Caenorhabditis elegans: one gene and its partner. The protein of the gene in region 1 purifies or fractionates together with the protein of each later gene. This does not show direct contact. Each region holds a gene or a part of one and is shown on either strand. Other genes may lie near its edges.

The links.
Region 2: the proteins of aak-1 (region 1) and D1005.5 fractionate together in Caenorhabditis elegans (co-fractionation; one large-scale study listed by BioGRID). This does not show direct contact.

The regions. Positions count from the first base shown.
Region 1 is NC_003281.10:8,756,321-8,763,063, forward strand, and holds aak-1 (5'-AMP-activated protein kinase catalytic subunit alpha-1), read right to left. Parts: upstream 4,771-6,743; 5' UTR 4,729-4,770; coding exon 4,611-4,728; intron 4,249-4,610; coding exon 3,923-4,248; exon of another isoform or gene 3,644-3,922; coding exon 3,382-3,643; intron 3,334-3,381; coding exon 3,125-3,333; intron 2,698-3,124; coding exon 2,493-2,697; intron 2,445-2,492; coding exon 2,145-2,444; intron 1,798-2,144; coding exon 1,663-1,797; intron 1,188-1,662; coding exon 1,099-1,187; intron 1,042-1,098; coding exon 916-1,041; 3' UTR 683-915; downstream 1-682. Other genes in the region: Dwarfin sma-2, read left to right, coding at 408-572, 620-682. UniProt on the Caenorhabditis elegans protein: Probably does not act as a sensor that couples lifespan to information about energy levels and insulin-like signals. Together with aak-2, involved in the establishment of germline stem cell (GSC) quiescence during dauer development.
Region 2 is NC_003284.9:1,470,133-1,475,183, reverse strand, and holds D1005.5 (Signal peptide-containing protein), read left to right. Parts: upstream 1-2,203; 5' UTR 2,204-2,264; coding exon 2,265-2,359; intron 2,360-2,406; coding exon 2,407-2,531; exon of another isoform or gene 2,532-2,535; intron 2,536-2,984; coding exon 2,985-3,238; intron 3,239-3,289; coding exon 3,290-3,442; intron 3,443-3,948; coding exon 3,949-4,041; intron 4,042-4,090; coding exon 4,091-4,186; 3' UTR 4,187-4,504; downstream 4,505-5,051.

The DNA of each region.
Region 1 (6,743 bases):
AAATAGTTTGCACATGGTTACATCATATTTGTATAAAAAATCAAGAATTTTCGACAAAAACTTTTTTGAGCATTTTTTGACGACCGACAAAAAAATTTTTTTTTGGACGGATTTTTTTCTAAACTTTTCTTGTTTTCTTACATTGTGTACTAAACAAAGCTAAATCCGCACACAAACCTCAAATCAAAGCGTAAAAGAAGCGAGATCTGAAAAATGCCTGAAAACATTGGCTCCGAGTTAGGGCACTTCGGACGGCCAAAAAATTTTGTGACTATTGTCAAATGAAAGATCATGGTTGATAACATAAATTCCCACAGTTTCATAAAAATCGATACGCAGTGAACAAAGTTATGATTTTTGACCCGGAACTTATTTGGAGACCTAATAAGAAAAACTAAATTTTTCAGCTTCTCGAGGACTGCAGTCGCCGTGGATTCGACGCCTCATTTGATCTACAAAAAATGACATTTATTCGTATGTCATTTGTCAAAGGTTGGGGAGCTGAATATCAACGACAAGATGTCACTTCAACACCTTGTTGGATTGAAATTCATCTTCATGCTCCATTGGCTGTAAGTTCTGAAATTCTTGTTTTCTTTAGAAATAATACAATTTTCAGTGGCTCGACCGAGTTTTGTCTACAATGGGTCCAACTCCACGGCCAATTTCTTCAATTTCTTGAATCATTTTTATTATTTTTCAAATAACACTACCTTGTTGAATTGGAATCAGAAATAGAATAATAAAACAAAAAAAAAACAAACAAAGACGTCCAATTTAAGTACATGCTTTGAAGAGAAAAAAGGCATCTGAGGGGAATGAAGGGGGGCAAAAGTGAAACCGGGAGAAGATGAATTTTGAAAAAGAAACGAAAAATACATATCATTATACAGATAGAAACATAAAATTATGTTCTTATTCAGCTAACAAAGCCTGCATGATGATGTGGCAAGTTGCAAAGAATTCCATCGTCTGAGAACGAATTGGAGCTTCGGGTTCCGAAGATTGAGTTGAAACTTCATCAAGACTTTCCATTGAGTTCTGAAATTTTAATGCTTATAAAAAAGAACCAAGAACGAATATTTTTCTATAACAAACCTCAATATCAGCCATGTAGATACTGCTGTTCAACGATGATTTCAGCGAGGCGTCCGCGTCATCAACGCGAACTTTTGGAATGTTGACAGCTGAATTAATATTAAAATTGAGTAATGAAAATGAACCACTTAAAAAAATGATTGAAATTGTTTCGTTTTAATGAAATGAGCTTGAAGGTAGCGTCAGTGATGTCAAAATTTTTAATTTTTTGAACGAACTGTTTTTTTTTCAAATTTTTTACTGATCGAAACTGAGAAAATATCTAGATAAAACACTCTAAACTAAAATTTTCCTGGTCCTGCAGAAAAAAAAATTCGAATTTTAAATAATTTTTAAATCATTTCTTAATTTTTCTATTTTTTTTTAATTTAAAAAATTCGAAAATATCTTTCTCCAACTACAAATCAATGGTTTCGTGTTTTCGATTTTTTTTTTGAAAATTCGTTTTTTTTTTACTCTTTGGGGGTTTTTGTGAAAAATTTGCTACTCCTTCTTTGAAAAAACAAATTTTTTTTTTTGAAAATTCATTTTAAAATAATTTTCTTTCATCAAAATTAAACTTACACGGAGAAATTGGAGACATTGGAGATAGTGGAGACATTGGAACTTTCGAGCTATTTCCATTTAAATCACTTTTCGATTTGGCGAGAGTTACTGATACGGACGCAGCACGGGAACGACAACGACTCGGTGGAACAGCTGAAAGTTTTTTTTTAAAACAAAATATTAATAGCTATTTTCACTCGAAGAATACGGTACCAGGTCACGACACGACAAATTTATGTCAAGTGCGAAAAGGCGTAAAGAGTACTATAATTCATTAATTGTGTTTTAATTGTTTTACTTTAGTATTTTGATAAAGAAATCTTTTGTTCATAGAAAATCTATGAGAAATTGATGAAAAATTTGCAGTAACGAGTTTGAAATTACAGTACTCTTCAAAGGCGCACTTTTCGTAATTTACGAAAAATTGTCGTGGTGAGACCAGGCACCGTATTTTTAGCCCAAAAATCGTGAACTTTCGTGTTTATGTAATAAATACAAACCTTCTTCGTCTTCAGTGAGTCCTTTGAAATCGAGTAAATATCCTTTGTTATTCTCTTTTTTATCGAGAGCAAATAATTGAAGAGATACTTTCACAGGATCCGGATTAATTGGAGTCGGTTTGCTACGAACAATAATATGATACATACTGAGTACTTTCCATTCCATATCAACAGATTTTAAACTCAAAAAAACATGTTTCATGGTCTCAACTGGATCAAGACATGCACGAATTCCAAGATTCCATGTCAATTTCTTTTGCTCTTTTTTCAGTCCTTCCAAGATTTTTCGACCAACATTTGCTGAAAACTTTCCGACTACTTTTGCAACATTCCTTTCAGATTTCTCACTTTTCGTGGTGGCACCGACTGGCAACGAAGTGCTTCCCATTTTCATTGTTTTTCCAATCTCCCAAAAATCTTCCATTGCTTTTTGAGAAGATTCATCGGCATTTCTTTTATGATTTACTTCAAGACGATATGCAATACAGAGAAAATGATGATGATCTTCAGCAAGTAGAGCTCCAGTTACATCTTCTTCTTTCACATCAAATTTCTGAAAAAAAAAGGTTTCAGGTGTTGCTGTCGGTTAAAAAAAAATTCCCATGATTTCCTGTCTTTTTTCTATTTTTTAAAAATAAATTTTCATCTTAACTCATGGAAGTATATAATTTATAAGAATTTATAGTTTTTTCGTACATTTTTACTTTTCGGTTCTCGATTTCTCGATGAAAGGGGATTTTGCTTCTTAAAATATAAAATAGCTTCAAATTATGAAAAAACCAAAAAATGTCGAAAAATGAAAAAATAAATTATTTTTTCTGGTGGGGTTTTCTGAATTTCAGTTTTTTTGTATATTTTAACAATAAATTCACTTAAAAAAAATAATCAGAAATTATTGTAATAGTATTCTAGAACCAAAAAATGTGAAAGTTTAATTTAACTTTTTTAGAAACTCTCAGAATATTTTTTAAAAGTCGAACCTCTGCAACACTCTGAACCACATCAATATCAACAATCGATGATTCATTTTCACATTCTGGGAACAAATAATATGGAAGATCGATACGGAACCAACTGTGATTAACAATTCGTTTTACATCAGCTCTCTTCACAGGATCAACTTGAAGCATCGTAGAAATTAGATCGGCTGCTTGTTTTTCCATGGAATATGGAACTGTGTATCGGCCACCTGTATTAAAATAATCAAAATAAATTGTTTTAACTTTTAATTTCTCACTTTTAATTTTTGCAAACAACGTTGGAACATTCTGATCATCAAATGGCAAAGTTCCACAAAGCATCGCATAAAGTATAACTCCACATGACCATAGATCAACTTCAGGGCCCACATAAAGTTTATTTGATATTAGTTCGGGTGCCGCGTAGTTTGGAGATCCACATGCCGTCGAGAGAAGATCACCATCTGTCATGTAGTTCGAGAGACCGAAATCAGCGATTTTAATGTTCTTGTTCGCGTCCAGAAGAAGATTTTCGGGCTTCTAAAATTGATATATTGTTCTTAACGATTTTTAAACAAATTATCCGACTGAGAGTTTTCCTTTTTACAAGTTTTTGGATTCAATGGTTCCGAGATATTTTGATTTTTAGAGACTTTAAATTTTGAACTATGGCAAACAATGTTGACCGAAAATAGTGCGAGTAAACATATAAACGCTGCCCATCGTGTTTTTCTAGTTGTTTTTTTTTTAATATTTGAACAAGGATTATTTGTGAGTACATATTTTTTGATTCACAAAAGGAAATAATATAAAACATACCAAGTCTCTATGCACAATCATATGATTATGACAATAACTGACTCCAGAAATAATTTGTTGAAAGTATCGTCGACTTTCTCTGATTGGAAGAGCACCTTTTCTAGTTATATAACTGAAAAGTTCTCCACCAGAAACTAGTTCCATGACCAAAAATATGTCCGAAGGAGTACTGATAACACGGAAGAGACGTGTGATATGTGGATGTGTGAGTTTCTGAAGATTATCAATCTCATTTCGAGTTTTGTTAACTGTTCCGAGTCCTTTCATTCTTCCACGATTCAGAATTTTAATGGCGACGTCGTATCCGGTTTGAATATGTGTTCCTCCTGAGAAATATGATATTGATTTTCATTTGAGCTGTAGATTTCTCGTTTTTTTGGCTAAAAATTAGGTGTTTATTTTTCTTTTTTCGGAAAAAAAGTGAGCGAAGAAAGGGAAACTCTAATATAATAAAACCCCCATAAATGTTTAAAATTCACTTTTTTTCCCGAAAAACCTTCAATGTTATAAAAAAGAGTGCTAATTTGATCAAGATGTTGAAAAATTTCAAAATAACGTTCCAATATTACAAAAAATTTTCTGTTTTTTTCTTGCTGTGGGTGAAAAACTATTTTTTCCGTTTCGGTTTCACGAAAAAAAAATTCCGGATTCTGCCCTGGTTTTCATAAAAAATATTAAGAATACTTACTTTTAACAGCTCCAAATGCTCCTTTTCCAATTGTCTCTTTGATGACAAAGTTTCCAATTTTCAAATGTCCAGTGCCAGCCAAGGCGATTGTTCTATCGAAACGTCCACTTGGAGGCATATTTTTTTGACGATGTTGTGAACCTATTGGTACTACCATACCCTAAATAAAACATTATTATTCTGGATTTTAAAAAAGTTAAACGGTGGGAGTTAATGACAGGTAGTGTGAAATCGAAAAATTAAAAAAAAATCGGCTTGAAAATTTACTTGAAAATTTGGAGAAAACTTTGGCTTAGGCTCGGCGGCGGGTAAAATTTCAAAGGGATTTTCAAAACTAAGCTTTTTAAAAAAGTTTAACCAAGAAATCCGGCTTGTTTTCCTAGAAGAATTAAATGTTTTCAGTAAGTTCCGAAAACTATGCCGCGAAACAAAAATAATATATAGGGTCTGAGGAGGTCACGCGATTGAGTGTGAATCATATGAATCATAAAGAATGACCGAGCAGCCGCCGTTGGTGCCACGCGTCGTTTCCATTCAAATGGGCTCTCACCACTCTGACAGTGTATGACAATATAAATCAAATCAGCAGACATTCAATTTCTCAACATCTGCCCTGTTGGTTAACACAATATGGTTTTGGTTTCTAAGAGCTGTTTGGACGACGCAGAGAAACATGAAAAAAAACCAGTGTGTGTCTATTGAACAACGACACCTCTTTTTATGAGCCGATGAGGAAGGGAGGCTCTTTAGAAGAGAGCACATGAAAGAAGAAGGCGGAGTCAAGTGGCTGAGGGCCTAATGGGAGGAGCTTGGTGAGGTTTTCTAATTTTGGAAGAATAAGATTTTAGATCTAATCTCATCTTGTACCAAAGGATCAGGATAGGAAACTTGAATTGATAAATTCAACATTCCATTATCAATTTTATTTTCGACAATATGATGTATGCCGAACTGCACAAAATGAAAAAAAAAACCAAATGTAAAGTGACGAATTACACACACATCTAGAAGGCATAACTACAATTTTGATTTAACAAAAATCTAAAATGAATATTCGAATTTTTAGACTGAGCAATTCGTACTCATTACTTCTACTTGACAAAAATTATAGAATAACAATATTTTGAGAAGCCGAAAGACAGAATACCAGCTGGGTGTACGTGGTAGAAGGCCATATGAGTAGACAGAGTGAAATTGGGAACAAAAACGATACCACGTGTGTTTGGAGTAGACTTGTCAACAAGTTGCTTGAAAAATTGGGGCGTGGCTACTATTCTACGAGGCTTCTGCTACTAATGAATGACCCCCAGAGATATTTCTAAGTGGATCTAGAAAGATCGAATTTCCTCAAATTTTGAAGCTAAACTCATGTGATCGCTCTTGAATTGTCACATTCACGAGCTTCTTTCCAAAATGTCTAGACCATGAGAAAGTCAAAGAATGCGGAGATGCTCTTACAATTATTCTCGTTGTGATGTCAGTTTTCACATTTCCCACGGCTGATTGACACTTTGAGCTCGTCGTCCAGTATTTCAATCAAAAGATTCCAGCTATAAAATTGATTCCGAAAATAACGACAAGAAAATAGAAATAGAATTTATGATTTTAAAAATTCTTTCTGTTTTCGAAAACGGTTTCTGCACTTTCTATACGAAATCTGACAGATGCTGTCGTGAGCGGACACTGGTTTTCTATGAACTGGAAGGAATGAACACTTAGTGAAGACACGAGCAACATAAAATATTGATATTTTTAAAAGTTTAGATGATGGAATAGAAAAATCGTTGACACGAATGGCTGTCTGTCCCCAATTTCGAAATCGTTCGAATTTCAAGAACAACAACTATTTCAACAAAAATACGATGAACAACTGGATAATGTTTAATTACAAAAACTAGCTGAATTAGTTTTGATAAAGAGCAGTTTGTTAAAATTTCTATCGCTGCAATTTTTTAAACAAAAGTGAAGTTTTTCAAAAAGAAATGAACAAATATTTTTCCGTTCGCAACTATTTTCAACACATGTGCGCAGTCTAGAAAACAACAGAAAACAAAAAATATATACGAAATCGTAGGAAATGCAAAGAACGATGATTGTAAGAGAAGGACAGGAGAGCAAAATGGTTTTCTTATC
Region 2 (5,051 bases), on another chromosome or scaffold:
GCTAATTAACGGATTTTTTAAAAAGTATTATTCTAATAGATTTTTATGATATTTAAAATACCCATTTTAAAAACAAATTTGATAAATAATATCACTTTTAACCTCAATTTCATTTAAAAATTAAATAAAATGTTTCCATATTGATTTTATTTAGCTTATTTATAACATTTTCAGCTCCAATTTTATACAAAATATTTAAATGATAATTTCCACGAGCTATTTCCAATCTTATTCAACTATAGTGTGTGGTATATTATTTAAATTTGAAATTAATTTATGAAAAAAAAGTTGATAAACTAACGTCCTAAAAGCACTATTTGTAGCTTTAATATTAGACAAAAAAATTATACATTTCCATGGACATTATAGAACCTTACTTAACTATATTATAGATAGCTTTGCCTATAGTTTGAATTGTCAATTTTATTTGAAAAAGTTGATAAACTGGCCTATTTAGCTTCACAAAACTTAACGAAAGCATAAAGTTTTCTTAATAGTTTGATTTTTCTATGCTAAATTAAAACAATATATATATATATATAAAATCGAATCCGAAAAAGTTGTTATTCACTACGCAGCTCCCACCATTAAGATGCTAATTATATATGCTAAAAGAAAAAAAAAGAAAAGACTCCTGCAATTCTTTAAAATAATAAATTCGAGAGAAGAGGGGAAGTTTCAAAAATCAAAGTTTGCAAGATAGATTCACACAGAAAAAAGACCATTTGAAAAAAATCATCCAATTTGCAAAGTTTCATGTCTTGTTTGTTCAGCATACAACATGGTACACGATGAGTTTTTGCCACGTGTCACTGAAAAATTTATATTAGTTTGTTTCCAATGGGGTGGAAATTTTGTTTCTTTTTTTTTTGTGCCTACAAGGAAAAGCACCTTTAAAAAATTCTAGAAAGTATGAGAAGATCACATGAAAAACTTATTTACATAGAGACAAAAATTTAATGAATTTCTGATACAGAAATAATTGAAAATTCTATGTGGAAATTTTTTCACTAAAATGAAATTTTAATAATTCTCAAAAAATCAAAATTTTCACGTGATATGTATATAATTTGCAAAGCTTTTCTGATTTTTCGGCGGAGGATGGCTCAGTGGATATCAGTCTCGACTATCAATCCAAGCTCATCACAAGACGCGGGTTCGATTCCCTGCATCTTCCGTCAATTTCTACTCGTCAACTCGATCATTTCTCGTCGGCCGAAACTCGCAATAAACAGTAAATACACTATATATAATAATCGTCATCATAAACAAAAAGTGAAGGATTCTTGTGAACTAATGTGTTAAATGAATAAAGATCAAAAGAAATTTTTGAATTTCTCTGTTTGAGTACCCAAGAAGCTCGAACTTAGTTTTCAAAAATCTCAAATGTTGCTGTGGATCGAACTCAATATTTCTTTTACTTTCACCTTCCAATACATATTTAAGTCGTTTATTACGAGTTTTTCGTTGATTTAGGTCCAATTCGATCAACTGGAGTAAGAATTGTATCATAGTTGTGCACCCATCGACTAAAAAAGTAATTCCAATCAACAACACTTTTCTAAAATTTTGATATATTTTCAGTAATCGTTACATAAGTTGCTGGAAAATTAGGAACACTTTTTTCCAATTTTTGTTCCATAATTTTCAAAAAGTTTCCCAATTTTTGCAAATTCTTCAATAGTTTTCAAAAAATGTTTTCTAGGAGGGGCCTAACTATAAGTGAATTTTTTTTCTATTTTCAGTCGAAAATCAACGTTCATAAGAAATACATTTTGATTTGTTTTTATCTGTTTTTTTTTATAAAATCATGTGAATTAAATTGTTTAGTGTCTTAGAAAAATTCGATAAAAACGGAATGCATCTCCTGTTAATTATGTGCTAATCTTCTTTGGAGTGTTGCTTGTGTGTGCCTTTTCTGTTTTGCCGACTCATCGGGCCGATTTAATTTTAAAATGAGTAACATCACTGATTACTCATCAAATAATGTCTGTCTTGTTTTTGAAACTAATGTTGAAAGCCAGGTAACTAAACAATGACTCATTGAGTCCGTAAAGTTGATTTTAATTTTGAGAACTTGTTTTCTTGGCAATTTCCTCGCCCCAGCGAAAAGCCTGACCGGTAAACTTTTGAGTTCTAAAATTGTTCTACAATTATTATTATCACGTCAAAACTAGTCTGCCTATGTTTACAGGAAGATGTATAAAACAAGAAAACTTCGTTCCATGTTTTGAGCTTCACTGTATCTAAGTGAGTCAGCCATTATGCACCTTTTAACATTTATTCTTGTTTGGTTTTTCTGCATAAATGTTCAGTCTTTTACTCGTAAAAGAGCAACATGCAATACTACAGAGATAATGTAAGTAAGTTTGTAAATGCTCACTAAATAAACTTTATATTGTTCAGGTGGATTCCTGACAAATCTGACTATTTTGAAGAGCAAGTTGAACTGCAACTTACTTCCAGAACAGGCATGAATCCTGATTCAATGGCGAAGATTGTACAGGAAGAGTGCAAATTCGAGAAAAACGGTTGGTCAGTAGGGGAAATGATTGAAACCCAATTTTTTCTTTGGTAGAGTAACCAAATACCATCATAAAATTTCTAGAAAAACATTGGAATTATTTGTCAATTTTGAATTAAAGGTGGAGTAGCGCCAGTGGGGACTTTGTCAAAAAACAGATATAATGATCCAAAATGGCCGAATGGAAAATTTCCAAAAATTTGAAAAGTATGAGCTTTTGAGGAAATTCAAAGCATTGTCGTATGTTCCGACCCCTACAATGTTTTAATACAAACATTAAAAAATAATTGAAATATAAAAAATGTGGTTCGAATGTTCGACAGTGCTCAAATCAAAATAACACATTTTACAAAAAAAAATTATTTTGATATATTTGGCCACATAAATGTTCTTTAACAGTTTCCCCACTGGCCCTATTTCACCATTAAAGCCTTGATCTTAATGTTATAATTAATTTTAGTTTCTTCGGTCAAACGAAAAAAGAGATTTGCAATAGTCAAAGGAGCGCATTTTCTATATAAATTCGTGAAAGTGATCAGTTTTGTGCAGCTGCTCCGAGACCTGTACAGGGGCAGAGGGCTAATTAAGCTTTACTTCGAACTTGAGAAAATGAATAGAGACCTAGAAGAAGAATATTTTCGAACGAGTATTCAAATTCTGATGAGTGGTGAGAAAATTCCGAAGTCAATTCTCAATCACCCGAAAGTTTTATTTGTGAGTGGTGGCAAGATCATCAAAAAAAACGCCTGAAATTTCGTTGTTCAGGTGATAAAAAAAAGAATTCCAATCGAAAACCAATACCTCCTATCACATGTTTCTGCGGCAGATGCAACGTGTTACCAACGTAAAAAGCGTTCTAGAGTCGTCATCGTGTTGAACCTTAAAATTCCAAAAGTTCATCAGAACCGTGTGAAGAAAGTAAGTTTATTTTATTTTATATGAGAAACTTGTTTGTGTGGTAGAGCTTCCATGTGAGAGCGGAAACGGCGTCGGCGCAAGCCTTTTCGCCGCTGTTCAGTAGGATCTCCCAGCAAAGGGTCTCACCACGATTTTTTTCACCTCGACGATACACTCAAAATAAAAAATAACTGCGTGGCGTGTACTGCAGAAAACCTAATATTTAGGCCGCGCCGCTGCGTTTAACTCGCGTTGGGCGTGGCGAGCTGTCTCCGCCTGCTGCGAGTTAAACACAGCGGCGCGCGGAACCCGTGAGATGTCGGCGGCCTGATATTGGTTGGGGTCAAAATTTTGGCCTTTTCTCCGTGAGTGGACAAGAAAAAGGCGGGGCCGAAATATTAGGTTTTCTGCAGTACACGCCACGCAGTTTTTTATTTATTTTGAGTGTATCCGTAGTTAAAAATTCATAATTGTAAATAGTTTTTACTGACGAAAGTTGACATTCATTAATTATTCCTTACTTGCAGTGCGTTTCTTTCAATAATGGCTCACTTTATCACGTTTCGGAGACGGAATCGTTGCGAACACTGAGAGTAGATATCAAGAAATGTTTTTTTGAGGTAATTGAGATTAATAGTTTTGTTATAAGCAAAAGTAATACAATTTCAGAACTTGACATTTTGCCCTCATGCAGCAGTTCGTGAAATCAATTGCACTGATGAAAATCTCAGAGCTTACAAGATTTCAGTTGGGAGGAAAGCCTGATTTTTTCATTAAGCTTCTCTGAGCTTCTGACCTCACAGTAAATTTATATTTCCCGCTACATTCTCCATCCTCAATTTTTTTTCTTATATCATTCTGTTATTCCGCTCCAACTAAAATCTCTCCAAAAATCGACAGTTTTGCAAAAAAAAGACCAAGAAATCAAACAACAAGTGTTATGAAAATTCGACGTGGTGGGAACAATATGCGATTATATCGATTGGCGATTGCGATGTGGAATTTGTTCTGTTCATTTTTTCCGCTGGATTGAATATATCGGAAAAAATACCAACATTTTTTGGGAGTAATTTTAATAAAAATATCTGCATGCACACTTTTTTTCAACAAGGAAATTAATTTAGTTTATAAAATAGGTCACCTCAAATATTTCAGCGGCGGAATCAACTGGACTCTTGAAATGGGGATCTGAAACTTTTCCAGAACATTTTGAAGCTGGATTTAATATATTGAAAGAAATACCGAAAAAAAACCAAAAATGTTTCTTATATTCCAGATTGTTTGTCTACTCCTGAGCTATCTGAAGTTATCGAAAAGCTGGAAAAAAACACTCTTTTTTGTCTCTCAAGTAAAATTGTGAAATTTTCAACTAAAAAATTTTTAGATCGGTTCCACCGTAGCTGAAATTTTTGAAGGAACCACTCTTGGATTACAGTTTTATAGGTGAAGACTAGTAGTTGAGAACTACACTGAAAAAATTGGTCCAATGGGAAAGGGATGGAAATTTTGTTTCTTCATTTTTCGTGATTACAACGAAAAAATTTTTTCAATAAATCTACAAAATATAAGAATATCACGTGAAACATTCATTTTCAAAGAAACAAAAATTTTATAGAAAAATTTACCATAC